Styela clava: one gene and its partner. The protein of the gene in region 2 interacts with the protein of the main gene of each other region in a pairwise test. Links are inferred from orthologs where the notes say so. Each region holds a gene or a part of one and is shown on either strand. Other genes may lie near its edges.

The links. The genes of interacting proteins can lie anywhere in the genome.
Region 1: the proteins of U3 small nucleolar ribonucleoprotein MPP10-like (region 2) and U3 small nucleolar ribonucleoprotein IMP4-like interact in a two-hybrid assay, tested with the Drosophila melanogaster proteins (2 studies listed by BioGRID). The link is inferred for Styela clava from reciprocal best matches to the Drosophila melanogaster genes CG13097 and CG11920.

The regions. Positions count from the first base shown.
Region 1 is NC_135256.1:12,039,299-12,047,128, forward strand, and holds the start of U3 small nucleolar ribonucleoprotein IMP4-like, read right to left. Parts: upstream 3,071-7,830; 5' UTR 2,667-3,070; coding exon 2,664-2,666; intron 2,122-2,663; coding exon 2,013-2,121; intron 1,333-2,012; coding exon 1,139-1,332; intron 965-1,138; coding exon 832-964; intron 596-831; coding exon 441-595; intron 1-440.
Region 2 is NC_135252.1:8,336,191-8,343,286, reverse strand, and holds the start of U3 small nucleolar ribonucleoprotein MPP10-like, read left to right. Parts: upstream 1-4,034; 5' UTR 4,035-4,113; coding exon 4,114-4,507; intron 4,508-4,966; coding exon 4,967-5,473; intron 5,474-5,919; coding exon 5,920-6,102; intron 6,103-7,096. Other genes in the region: m7GpppX diphosphatase-like, read right to left, coding at 459-601, 676-793, 870-958, 1,195-1,330, 1,752-1,892, 2,188-2,336, 2,492-2,651.

The sequences.
Region 1 (7,830 bases), on a different chromosome or scaffold from region 2:
AATGCCCACTTTCAAACTGATGACGAACATTAATTTAACCTCATATCATATAAAATATACACCCCATTTTTGACAAAAGGAGCTGATTTAAAATCACAATAGATCTGGAACCACAGCATATTTAAAATGTGGCTCCAGGTCCGGCTGTTTGTATTTGCATTAAAAAATGATAGACATGGAAAATAATTTGGTGGTTAGAAGCCGAAGTCGATAAAATTTCTGGTAGATCTGGCTCTAGCTCCAACAAAATGCCATGTTTCCAGACTTCTTCTACACGGCCATGTTTGAAACCACAACAAAAATGTAATTGATCGCAAGCATTGCATCGATTTAAACAAGCTTAAAAATATTTTTTCTGAAATTTGAGATAATTTTATAAAATCTGAAACAATGTACAGTTCAAATATTCTACAATCTTTATTCAAAACCAATATTCCTACCCTTTCTCCAAGCCTTGAGTTAAAATTATGAAATATTAAATGCGGATATGCCTCGGACATCGTACCAACATTCGGAATATCGTGCCTCATAATACAATTTGACATATTAAAATATGTAGTTGGTCCATATGGTAAATGTGAAATTATCAGTCCATCTGCAACAGAGAAATATAATTGGTAATTATTGCCTGTAGCGTAAAGATGACCTGTAACATATAGCCGGCATTTTCGCAAATTAACTTGTGCAAAAGATATAGCAAAAGAGCCATAAGTATAATAAATCTTCATACTAATCGCTTTTTTGGTTTATTATAAAATTTCAATATACTAGAAGCTGAACAAAATTTATTTTTAAAATTTTTCATGTGTACACCTCTTAAAATAATCTTACCAGGTTCTCCTCTATGTTCATGCAGAACAATAAAATCTGTGACATCATTTGCCTTGCAAGCTGATATAAGAGCCTTCATTTCATGATTTCCTCTGTTGAGTCGTTGTGCATTTGGAAACATTAGTTTTATTTCCTATAAAACAATAGATTGGGCTTGGATCGTAATCTCAATGATTTTAGTATTAACCTAACTCAATGATGAAGGGGTTAGTGTGAGAAACTGATCAAGGGAGTTTCAAAAAAAAAAAAAACATAAATTTCCTATATACAAAATCAAAAAGTGGGTCATTTGAAATTAAAATGGTACTTTTGCAAATTGCTTCAGTTTCGAACTTGGATCATGAGAAGTAGTAATCATAATTTTTGGATCTTCTACTCCCACCCATCTGTATTCATCATCAATAGAATTAGATACACCTGCAGCTCCTTTATCATCAAATTCTAATTCTGATTGCAAGGCCAATGCATCTTTTCGGAGCTCAGTAGGAATGATTTTGTTTTCTGATGAACAAAATATAAAGTCAAGATAATAATTACATACAATATATTATAGATTCATATTCATGGGGTTCAACTTTAAATATAAAAAGGGTGATGATACTAAATTTTGCCCTTTTTTCATTTTATGTATTTATACTATCTTAGGGTTGTGTACAGCAGTGTGCAGAGTCAGAGACATGGTTTCGACTGATATATTTTCACCAGGAGTAGATTCACTAAGCGCCCGAACCTCTGTCAATGTAACCCAAATTTAGGATTCTTCTTTGTCTGACTGTTGCTAAAGTTGACATGTCTTCGGTCCCCTATATTTTATCTGATTAATCTGTGCCTATTTGCTGGACAATAATTCCAATCAGACTGTCTAATCTATTGTGTAGTTATATAGCAATGAGATCTTATGGGGGTTTTACAGACTTGGCAGAATTTTTTATCAAATCATACCATTGTGCAAATGAAATATCAAGATAATATTAATAAACTGAACATGTTAGGATTTCGTTTGAACAAAGATAAAATATGATGCAATTGAGAATTTTTCTGTTTTTCAATAGTTTGTTCAAAAACTACTCATCCACTTTCTCCCATATCCAACAGAAGACTGCCTCCAACTTCTCACAGATGATGACTGATAGAGGAAATATTTACAATACTAGAAGCTTAATTTTTACTAGTTTAAATACCATCTAATGACCGCTTGAGTTTATCTTTCTTCTCTTGAATTGTTCGTCTTTTGTCTTCAACAGACTTACGATACAAAAACTCCCTTCTTTCTCTGGCCTGGCGACGAAGCTGTAAACATATTCAGATATTAAATTCATCTATGACATATTTATTACAAACGAAAAAAGAAGGGAAAATTTCTCAAAAAACTAAATTGCCAATTATATTGAATAAGAAAGTGAGCAAAAAATTAATGTTCTTGTGTATGAAGTAATCTGTTATCACTAAAAATTAGGAAGAGAGAAGAGAACAAAGCATCTAAATTATACTTTATTTTCCCGATTTTTCCATTATTCTGTGTGTTTATGTTTTGTGTGTACATTATTTGTTCTGTGCATGTTTTTGGGGAAATCGAAATTATATTATTACTATAAAAAACAGCACCATTTTGGCAGTGCAGCAGTGTGACCTAAAAGTGACCAATTATTCAGCATTAGATCCCTAGTGTCCACCACTATTTGTTATGCATTGAAATACGCAGGACAGCATTACATCTATAACTTGAAAGTTGTGTTTTTAATCCAGGTTACAATACAGTTTGATTAAGTTCGGATAAAGTGATAGTTCGATCAAACCATCCTCGCGTCATGCAAAAGTAAAATCCTTCTCACCATTTCTAATGCTATGATTCACGATTTCTTGTATGAATTGGATAGTCAGCTTTATAACAAGGATCTAAAGGTAGTGATAATAACTACAGAACTATAATAATAAAGAAATATTAAATATAGACAGCGTTTCAGTGTAATATTTTCGTCACATTTTCGTATTTTGTTCAATCCATGTGTGAATATATCGTAACTTTATACTGTCTACCAGTATACGGTATATAGCGGGGGTGGCCAACCTGCTTTCGACCACGATCGACTAAAATCTTTAAACTAGCTAGCGAACGACTGATCGGTAATATTGTAATAGGGTCATACACAAAAACTATTGGGTACTGAATATGCAGATAACTGCACACATACATACAAAAAACTCTACCGCTGTCAATAAGAAGGCTTTGTGGGAACATTATTATTAAAATTGACACAAAATTTGTATTTTTTTGTTCCATTTTTTTGTTTTGTTTTTGTTACTTTTTTGCAATTCTCCGCTTGCTTAAAATTAACCCAAATTGGGCATTAAGATGTCACTGCTACCATTGCGAATAAAATTTATCACACTACTCTTTGAGTAAGACATTAAATTTCGCATACTGCAGAAGTTATTGTAGGATCGTTTGTCAATCAAGACACCGATATTCGGCACTTCATTTCTAAACCTTGGCAGCGGCAAAACTTGCGTTTGTTACTCAATACAGCAATACTGCAATAATATGCTCTATCGGGCTAGCACGACTCAAATCAGCAAATACTGCTTGCGCATAATGTATTTTGCGCATGTACGGGTACAGTACTATATATTCATCACGATTTGAAACGCGCTACTGGTTCAAGACAATTTTTAGGAGTATTCCATTAAAATTCACTCAACACAGTAACATCAGACGCGATGTTACGACGCAAACTGCTCGAGACGTGGCGAACGACGTGTTGGTCACCCAGGGATAGGTACCGTAACGTAACAAAATTACATCTAATATCTGTATATGTCCTACTTATAGAAAACTAAATATTTTGACCCCATGGCTCTGTCTCATTATCCAAAGCCTTGCTACTGCAGAACAAGGCTATTAAGCAGACCTCTGTGAAGCTTCGGAATTCAGCGACCCGGGATTCCGGAACTGAAAACGGTACACCTCGATGGAATAGACAGCTCAGTCGGTCGAGTCGACCAAAGTGACTACACTTTGGAGTCGACATGACACACATGGCACATGGCAGGCACTTATTTGGCGAAGAACCATGCCACGGAAATAGGAACCACGTCACAATTTTGTGAAGGCGTTGTTATATTGATTCTAAAATTTAAACTATGATAAAATTTTATGAAAAAAGCACATAAATTCGTCATGACAGTTGTTAGATGGAGAGGTGTGTAGCTTTATATTTACGTGTTTTTCTATACTTTATATTTTACTTGTTGAAGACGGACGTGTGTAAAGGTATCGGGTGGAACTGTTGTTAAGTGAGTATGTATTATGTACGTGGTTCCAAATGTCCACGTTTGCAAATGCCCGTGGTAAAAATTGCTGCAGAGTGCAGACGCAATTTAAATTGAGTTGTTGAAATAAGTAGCTGCAAATGTCCGAATAATTATCTCCCTGCTATCACAAATTGCCAAGATTTATGAAAAAATTTTATATCATCGTCTCAAATATTATTTCGATAAACATGGAACTTTGAGCCTTTCCCAGTTTGGTTTCCGAAACAACTATTCAACTGAGCTAGCCATAGCACGGCTCAAAGAAATGATAATAGAAAATAAGGCCAATAACAAGATCACATGTGCCATCTTTTTGGATCTTGCGAAAGCTTTTGATACTGTTAACCACCAAATTTTACTAGATAAGTTATATCATTATGGCATTAGAGGAAAGGCATATCATCTTATTGCATCATATTTAGGTGGCCGCAAACAATATGTCCAATATGGGGATTGTATCTCTGAAATGGGCCTTATTGAATGTGGGGTCCCCCAGGGTTCCACGATTGGCCCGCTGTTATTTCTATGCTACATAAACGATCTACCTTTGGCATCTACTTTTCATTCGACATTATTTGCCGATGATACTTCTCTGCTAAAGTCAGCATCCTGTGGTTTAGAACTCCAAACTGTGGTGAATCATGAACTCCAGAAGGTCGATAATTGGCTTAAAGCGAACAAATTATCCCTAAATTATTCTAAAACAAAATTTATGTTGTTTTGTGATAAAAAGCATGGTATTTCCACATTTAGAGTTGGCATTGGCAGCAACATTATAGAACAAACAAAATCAATTAAATATTTGGGAATTACAATTGATGACGAACTGAGTTGGAAGCCACATATTGCCGAGTTATCCAAGAAATTATTGCAAACTCTTGGAATATTTTACAGGTTAAGGCATATTTTGAAATCTAAAACACTTAAATTAGTATATTTTAGTCTATTCCACTCACGTCTGCAATATGGTCTGCTAAGTTGGGGCTCAGCATCAAGGTCTTCCTTACAGCCAGTTCATGTTTTGCAAAATAAAGTTTTACGATGTATGGCATTTGCAGAGAAAGTTCGTGTAACTAATTTGCAGCTCTACTACCAGTATGAATTCCTACAGCTGTCTGATATACATACGCTAGAAATAGCAAAGTTCATGCATCGGTAAGAAAATGACCTTGTCCCTCCTGTTTTTAAACATTATTTCACCTCATTAAAAAAAGTGCACAATTACTGCACCAGGTCTCAAAGAAACAAAGTTTTCTTTACTCCACAAGTGTCCACTGAGGTGGACAAAACATCTTTGAAGTATATGGGTGTACAGGTCTGGGGCAATGTTCCACCTGAAACTAAAAAAAGTTCTGTGCATGTTTTCAGTAAGAAACTGAAAAAATATTCCCTACTGAAATATTCTAACTTGTCCTAATATCTGTAGTTTAATTAATTAATATGTGTTGAAAACTGCATTATATAAATTACTACATTACTATAAATTTAACTGTTTCATATAAACACTGCACACTGAGGGTCATAGCCCTTTTTTCCAACTCATGTATGTATATAGGTAATAAAATTGCTGTCTTCTTTTCTTTCATTGGCGTCAATTTGATGATTTCTATGTTCGACTTTAAAAGCCATTGTTATTGATATTTCTATCTTTTGAATTATTGCTAAACACGTCATAATATGTAATTGAGTATAAAATCTTGCTCCCTTGATCCATATAGTACTGCCTAATATACTGTAATTACCTTTTTTATGTCATTGAAAGTTATTGTGGTATTACTGATGAACTGCATAGTTATTGCATATTTAATTGTGGATCATACATTAATATTATAGTTCCAAGTATGCATAAATACTTATAAATGATAGTAGCCCATTTGTTAATTAATTTAATAATCTTTATATATTGTGAAAAAGTGATTAACTGCAATAATAATTGCATATTTAATTGTTCATATTCAACTGTGGATCATATATTAACTACTATTCTATTTCAAAAGTATGTATTAATACTTAGGGATGTTGGTAGCCACTTTTAATTCAATAACCTTTTTATATCGTGAACTAATTAAGGTGTCAAACGAGAGTATCGGTCGGAGACCAAAGACTTATCGATCAAAACTGCGGTTTCGATTCATGACTCTATAGTGACACCGTGTGTCCAAACACCAATTAATTAATAGCTCCCTAATTATACGACATAACTCTACCAAAATCAATAGCCATCTGGTCCGTGAAATGATGAACGCACATGCAAAATTGGATTGGGTGGAGATTAAACCCCGCTTTCTTGAGATATCGCTTGCATCTAACAGACAGACAAACAGACAAAGATCGATAAACAAGATCGACAAGTAATGATATTTTTTACATCATGCACTCGGTCTATTACTGAATCTGTGATAATATTATTTTTCGTCCTTGGTATTCATTTTTGATCCCGGTCTGTGTCCAATAACAAAAAATATGCTTTTCGTGAAAATTTTTCCATTGGACATGTCCGGCTTCAACCAACACATGACCTCTCTAAAACCTAAATTGCCCTTAGTAACTTCCATAATACCATTAAATTGCCGACTCGTTTCCTTTTTTCCTCGTATTTATTTTTTAAATGTTTATATTTAATCTCATTTGTATACACCTATGATGAACTTATATATAGCACATACACAAGGGTCGGGAGCCTAGATGACTTTAATCGGTCTTGCACACCGACCCGCACAAAGCAATAATCAATTACTGTGGAATATTTTCGTTATTGTATTATGTTTATATTAGTGTTGATTTTGTTTTTGTGGCAATAAATTTCTCTCTCTCTCTCTCTGTCCGTGAGTGCAAAAGTATTCAGGCGCAAACGTCCTGGGTGCAGTTTAAGTGTCAAATGTTTGACTACGTTGGTGTTGCAGAGAAAAGATATTGAGTTCCAACACCATAACCTATTGATACTACAGTGCCCAATGTCAAAATCACAGCACCAAACTCAGGTTGATACAGGATCAGGCAAATCAGTTTCGAAGTCACGCTTTTCGTTGATCACTAGCGAGGGCCTGAATTTAAAATCATGAAGCGGACTCTTGTGCAAAACTTTTTTTGAAATTTTCAAAACAAATCACTTCTTCCAGCATAAAATGATAAAATCAATCTCACTGGTCTGGAAACATATATTCAGATTGATTATTGTCGTTCGTTCTGCGTGAACAAACTTTTGGCATTAGGTTTAAATTCCAGGAAATTGTAAATAATTAACTTACTGTAATTAGGTTACCAGCAATTTCCACCGTTCAGGTGACCTACGCTTGTTTAAAATTAGTTTCCTTTGTTGACATCGAAACTTCTTCAGTAAAATAAATATTGATCGGTTTTATTGTGTAATTTTTCCATGTCGACCCTTGCACGGTGGGATGGCGTCATACAAATCTGACAGCTGATCGCAAGTTATCACCGAGCGTAACATTGCCCTGTTCTGTTCTATGTACAAATAAGATCGCTCGGCCCCAAGGCTTTCTTCTAGAAAGATTGTAGTTGTCCTACACTAAAAAGTAAGCTTTCGCAAACATTTCGATTGGCGTCAATGTTGAGAGCAGCTCGATGACATGCGTACTTTAATACCTATTTTTCAACCAAGTAGTCAAATTTGTGATTTGTATATGCTTTCATATTGTCCTAAAATAGCCAACACTCTATTATTTA
Region 2 (7,096 bases):
CCATGGTGAATTATTGCTGAAGAACATGAAATAGATTGCTTACTTTGCCATTTATATTCTCAAGGTGTCTAAATATTTTTGTAACCCAAATGTCAATCAGATGTAGGGAAAATTGCACATACACAAAAAATTGAATTACTGCTGCTGGTCATCATAAAAGACTTGTTTTATTAGTATTTTAGATCTTGTAATACTTTACTTTTTAATGTTTAAGGGTATCAGCATTGTTCGATTTGTAGATGACCTGCTATTGTTGCAAAATAAAATTTTATTTCAAAATATTTCATGTCTTAAGTCTTCTGGGATAAAACACAAAGTTGTAGATAGCAGTTTCTGTGATTTCGTCAATCCTTGAGATCTTGTGGTTAAAAATGAATGCCAAAAGCATTATACACCTTTTTGTCTTGACTTTGGGATAATCGGTCAAGGCTGAGATAACCAAATGGCTTTTCATTCTGTTATGGCGTCTTTCGCAAAGCCGTAACAAGCTTATCATCTCTCTTCCCAACGAATGTCATGGTTTTTTTCTGGTAATAATCGCTCATGAATTCAATATTTTCAATGACATCCGTCAGTAAATGAGCTCTGGTTACAGACGATCCTGAAAATGAATAACATTAGAAAGAAACAGAAGATGAATGTTGTTAGGTGTATATTGAGATTGTGTTTAGTTACCTGGAGCATCAAAGGCGATGTTTGTGAAATGTATATGGAGGTGGTAGTAAGATGGTTGATAATGGAAATATATTCTTAACTTGTGTTTCTTCACTCCATACTTTTCCTGTATTGCATCCTACGTAAAAGAAAAATCGTCCTTAAGTCTTGTTCTATTAATAAGCTTCAATTGATTTCCAAAACAAAATTGTCACCTCTCCACGTTGCTTTATGTTCTTCAGTAGTGGTAAATGATCTTTATTCAAATCACGAAGTGACTTTAAATCATGTCTGTGAACAAGAGCTGGGAAGAAAAAATATGTGATGCACCATATAAGAAGCTTCTGTTATTTGGGATGTTAATCCTTAAAATACCAGCATAAATAAGCCATATGTGATAACCATTAGAAAATCCCACTGTGGCATATGGCAGCCATCAGAAGCAATGAATATACAAATTATTCTCTAAAATTGGCTACACAAAATATTAAATTTCAAGGATTGTGAGGATCAAACAAAAACAAGGAAAATTTTGCATACCCATCAGATATAATGATTCTATGTCTTTCAGGTCCCATTTCATATCGGGGAGAAGAATGAATCCTATTTCAGGATCAGGATCTTCAAATACAATCCTTTCGGATTCGCTTTTCTTATCCAGAATGTTGAAAACCCACTGTGAAAAAAACATACCATAAATAGATGGGAATATTATGTAATATTATTATTTCTGAAATATAAAAACATACTTTTTTATATAAAAGTAAAAAGATCAGACTATTGCAATTGTTCTACATAGGTGATATATAAAAAGAAAAATTATTTTCCAACTGCTATTTACGATTTATGTACAACATACTTTTCTCATATAAGTTGCATGCAAAACTATACTTGTGCAAAGCAAACAATGCCTGTCATAAATAATTTGTTGTGCTTGCCATTAATTAAAGATTATGTTATATAAAGGTGTGGCCCACGGATTCTCCCAGTTATTTGAATGTGCCTCTCCTGTATTAAAGGTTGCACACACCTGCTCTATGGTATTGTCAATTCTGAATGAAACCTATAATTTTGTTTTCATATGCTTTTAATCATACTTGCACACTGAATCGATTTTCTTCTTTCAAATATGGCAGTGTGATTTGCTTGTAGTCATCGCCAGTTTCCTCTATTACTTCAACTTCTTGCTTTGTGTATTTTTCTATGTGCTTTGTGGTTGCTGGATATATCACAGTTGTCTAAAATTAACAGATGAGAATAATAATAATTGACAGAAGCAAAAAACAAAAAAATATCATTTTATGATTTCAATTATTATTAATAGTACATTACTTCAAAGCACTCAATTTCGAACATATAACTCGTTAAATACATTTCATATCCCAAACCATTCAAATTGTCAAGTTCATTCAAACTCCCTTTTGAAAGTTTACTTTTATTTGAATGCTCTATCCTTGCTCTCAACACCACCATTAAAAAAAGGTTGAAGTGGTCATCAGGCAAAGATGAAATCGCATTTTTAAAGTAGACTACCTTAATTTCTGTGTGCGGTGAAGTGGGTACTGCTGCATATGTACTGTAGATATCATTTAATAAATCTTGGCGGAGCTTTGTTTCTTCGGAAAATAGAGATTTCAAGCCCTTTGGTGATGTGTCAAAAGGCCTTTTTTCCAATATTACAACTAGAAAATAAGAAGATAAATTGCTCTTTTAAATAAATTGAAAAATGTTTAAAAGGTGATTGTTATAAGGTATTTTGGAGTGCCTTTTATTGCGTTACACATAAACCATAAAGTTAATTAAGCCATGAAATGTAAATGTTGAAAATAAAATTAACCTGCGTCTTTGTTGTCTTCTCCAACTTTTCCATGGAGAAATACAAGTTTCTTTTCCTTTACTTCATTTAGGACGACTGGATTTTTCAATCGATGGAAAGGATGTAGCTCCACATCAATCTTAGCTAATTTAGGCGATGGTTCATCTTCCTCTTCACCCATAATCAAACTTCGGCGAACCCAAACACCAACCTTTCAACCACAATATGCTTAAACGAGAAAACTAATTTTGGTACTTTCCAGGGTCATGACCCCTTGAAGCGTGCGCATGAAAGACATACCATACACCGAATCAACTGAGATAAATAACCTGAGAGTGTTGGCGTATTTGTGTGCCAATAGAGGATTTGTCCTGTGGCAAACGACGTTTGAATCTCACACAATGACCTTAGGCATGTTTGCATGTAGGGACCGGTACGATAAAATCCTTTAAAATACTTTGGGTGATGATCCGTCAGCTTTTCAAATAATATGATTTCCTTTCCTGGCGTATTGGTTATATCAGTATATAGACGTTCATATACGGTAGGCTAGTCTCCGTAACGTACGGCACCCTTCCGGTCTTGATGCCTCGCCCTGTTACCGGTACTGTGATGGGATATTGTTCCGTACAAATTCCGATTTACTTGAAATCTTGCTGTTACCATATCCAGTTATTTTTTGTGTGATCCTACTCCACTAATAAAATGGTCCTTACGTTTCGTATCCAATATGCCTCAGTAGGCTACAACAACCAGCTTTTGATCGCTGCTAGCAACGAGCTTCATTCATTTCTTGTTACGGTCCATGAACGCACAGTTGAACCCCACGAGGGCGCTGTCGCGTGTATTATTACTCTGGTGGTATTTTGTTTCTCTGTTAATTATGATTAATTAAATTTGTATAATTTTTTTTTGTCATTCCCTCTAAATCTCCAGCCCACAGGTGTCGTTGACTCGATGACTGTCACAGTCTTTCGCGACTCCTTATCTATTGCTATGAATCTCTCACTTGTATGAATTCTGATGTGTATATTTAATTTTTTACGATTGTCATTATACACGTTTGTCAATTTTTCGTGCTTTAAATTTTGTGTTAATTCTTGCATGATAGAAATAAAATATCTGAATCTGAATCTGAATCTGAATCTGTTCGAGAAGGCATATTAATGTTATCAATAGCTACAATATATAGATATATGGTATAATCTAGTATTCAAAAAAGTTGAGTTAAATGGTGTACAAGTCCGGATTTCATAAATCAGTTTTTATTTATTTGTTTTTATCAATCACTTTATGGCCTGTTATGCTGATTATGGAGTCGAAATAAACTTACGTATATACTGATATACAAGTGTATGTTGATATCACAAAGCTTTTCGTGAATATTTTAACAATACTTCTGGATCGTAAGCCAATATATTAGCAATACTTGCATAGACCTATATTGCAGAAATTTAGCCTCACACTAGAATGATAATGCTCCAATACTTCATTCCACGTTACTGTGAAATTTCCGTATAGCATATAGACTAATACTGTAATATGTTCTACTTAATATATTTTGCATAACTTTTCAGTTTTATTAGATGAGTTGTAGAGTTTAGGAAATTAAATACAGCATTAGTTGAAGTTCAAACTCAATCATGGATGAACACTTTTTCACAAAATTGAAATCAAACTTTGAGCAATTCGTATCCTCACCTTTGCCATTTTTGGAAGGATGTACAGAAGTGTCAGACAATTTTAAATTATTATCAAAGACGATTTATGATTCTAATAAATCATCAGCAATTTCATCACGATCAGGTCCAATACCAAAACTTATCATTGAAGGTTTTGATCATGAGCAGATTTGGCAAGAAATTGAACTTTTCAATAAGAAGGAAGCTGCAACTTGTCTTAAAGCAGCCGAATATTTTAATTCTCAGGACATTTCCCAGTTCATGTTAAAGAAACATGAAAGTGATGATGAAACGGGTGATGAAGATGATGATTTGTCAGAATTAGAACCTGTTGAAGGAGAAGCGGAACCAGAAGGTGATTGGTTCATTATTTTTATTCGTTTTACACTTTTTACTTTGTAGCCTATATATATATAATACAATACTGATTCATCAGGTAATTTATATTTTTAATATCAATGATTACAATACTATTTACTATACATGACTAGTGGAGGTATGATTTTATTATATTCTGTTGTCCAGCACAAAATATTCTCCATAATTCTAATTTGTACAGCTGGAAGATATTGAAATATGCATTTGTTTGAGAGGGGTTCGATGTATATTTTCTATAATATAAGTCCCAAGCAAAGACCAAACTTAAAATTGAGAGATCATGATTATAAAGGTTGCCAGAGACCACTGCAAACAGTTATAGTGCTAGGCTCACCTTTGGTTTTCATCTCAATGTTGTTCAAATTCTTATTTGTAACTGTATTAAAAGTCAAACTGATATCAAGAAAATTTAACAATCAAAATTGAATATATTTAGCGGAAAGCGACGTGGAAGGATTCCATTTTGAAGAAAGTGAAGGAGATGACGAAGAAACTGAAGAAGAAGAAGAAGACTTCAATCAACATGATGTAGTAACGGAGCAGACTGAAGTGGACGATGATTTTTTCAGTCTGCGTAAAATGGAAAAATTCTTAGAAGACGAAGATCGAAAATATGAATTAGAACAAAAGAAGCCGGTAGAGGGCGACATAGACTATTTTGAAGATATTCCATCTGATGGCATTTCCTCATCTGAAGATGAGAATGAAGAATATTCAAGCAAGATTAAATCATCAAGAAACTTGAAATATTCTGATTATTTTGATGAACCTATTAGTTCAATAAAAAATAGAAATGAAAATATTTCTGAGACTGAAATTGATGATAGAAACAATGCACAAGATCAAAAACAATCTCATTTTGAAAAGCATCAGAAACAAATATCACAGAAAATTGGAATACTAGAGGAAAGAGCATTGGCACCTGCAGAGTGGCAAATGACTGGTAAACTGTTTTATTCATTCTATAATAAAGAATATTCTGTCCACTTTGGTATGCAAATCTCACTTGCTTAACGCACAGCACTAATCATGGTGCCTTTTTGGTCAGTCTCATAAAGAAATTCTCATAGAATTCAGTTTCTAACTTCAACTAAAATCACTGAGATCATATACCAAATTAGCACCGAGTATTCCTTAATAAGAACCCATTTGGAATGTGAAGTACTGGGAGTTTGTTTTAGCTAACCCTGGCCTCCATTTTAGTGGTCAGCTATTTTTAGGTGAATGCGTTATGTGCATTTTTCTAAGCTTGTATCGTAAAGAGAGCTCTAGCTGACTTTTTCTTACCAACTGTTACTTGATTATCTGTGATTATGACATCTTAAGTTAGATTGGTGAAATATTCATTTCAGTTACATAATTTATTGATCTTATTATTTTGCGATACAGGGGAAGTCAAAGCTGCATCAAGACCAGAAAATAGTTTACTGCAAGAAATGGTTCAATTCGATCATGTTGCTCGACCTCCTATTGATATAACAGAAGAACACACTAAAGATCTTGAAAGTTTGATCAAACAACGAATCATGGATTGTGCTTGGGATGACATTGAGAGAAAATATAAACCTGATGGTAACTACTAATAAAAAAAAATACTCTACTTTCGAAAAAATTCAATTTGTTTCCAACTTGTTTTAGATGTTCTCTATTGTATTTACCTAGGTATCTGTATTGTATTATGGCCATAATTAAATTATCCAAAGCATACAATTACCATTTCAAGATCATGAAATGGCATATCCAAATGCTTAGATGTATTATTATTTATATAAACAATTTGAATAATCAAGAACCTATTATAAATGGTGTAAAATTGTTTTAAGTATCCATATTATAGTTCTTGAGAGCTCTACCGATATATCGGCCAACCGATATATCGGGCCGATATTGCGTGTTTGCCGATATATATCAGCGTTAGTCGCTTTTCCACGTTCTAAAAAATGAGTCCCCCGGGAAATATCTGCGGCCGAGCTTTTTCTTTTTTTCGCTTCTCTCATTTTGCCTCTCAATGAACAGAGAGTTCTCTCTTTTATCTCTTCGTGCGGCGCAAAATCCTCGCCTTCGAATATCTTGCGTCCCCACTAGACTTGCACGTAATCGACAAAAATCAATTCCGTAATTACGGAAAAAAATCGATTACGTAATGACCCCGTAATTGCGATATTTTTTCACGCATTTAAACCTATCATAACAACCAATTGAATCCACTTCTTTTCCAAATGGGACATCGAAGTTTGGTTTTCATATCACCGACAGTACTACACGCCGGCGACAGATGTTAAAGACAAATACCAAGGAGTGAATTCAAATTAAATTTATTCTGATTTTTATCTTTTGATTTGATTTTCCTTTATCACTTTCGCAAATTAACCGTCCCAATTTTATGCGATCAATTTTATCATTACCAACACTGGTATACGGATATTTATGAAACAATAGTTGCCTTTTTTAAAATCGACTTTCGTATTGAATAAAAATTTCGGGTTTCCAAGTTATTAATCAACGACGAGCGTATTCTTTCGTTTGATTATACCTGCGCTTGCCTCGCAACGAAGACCTGTTATTG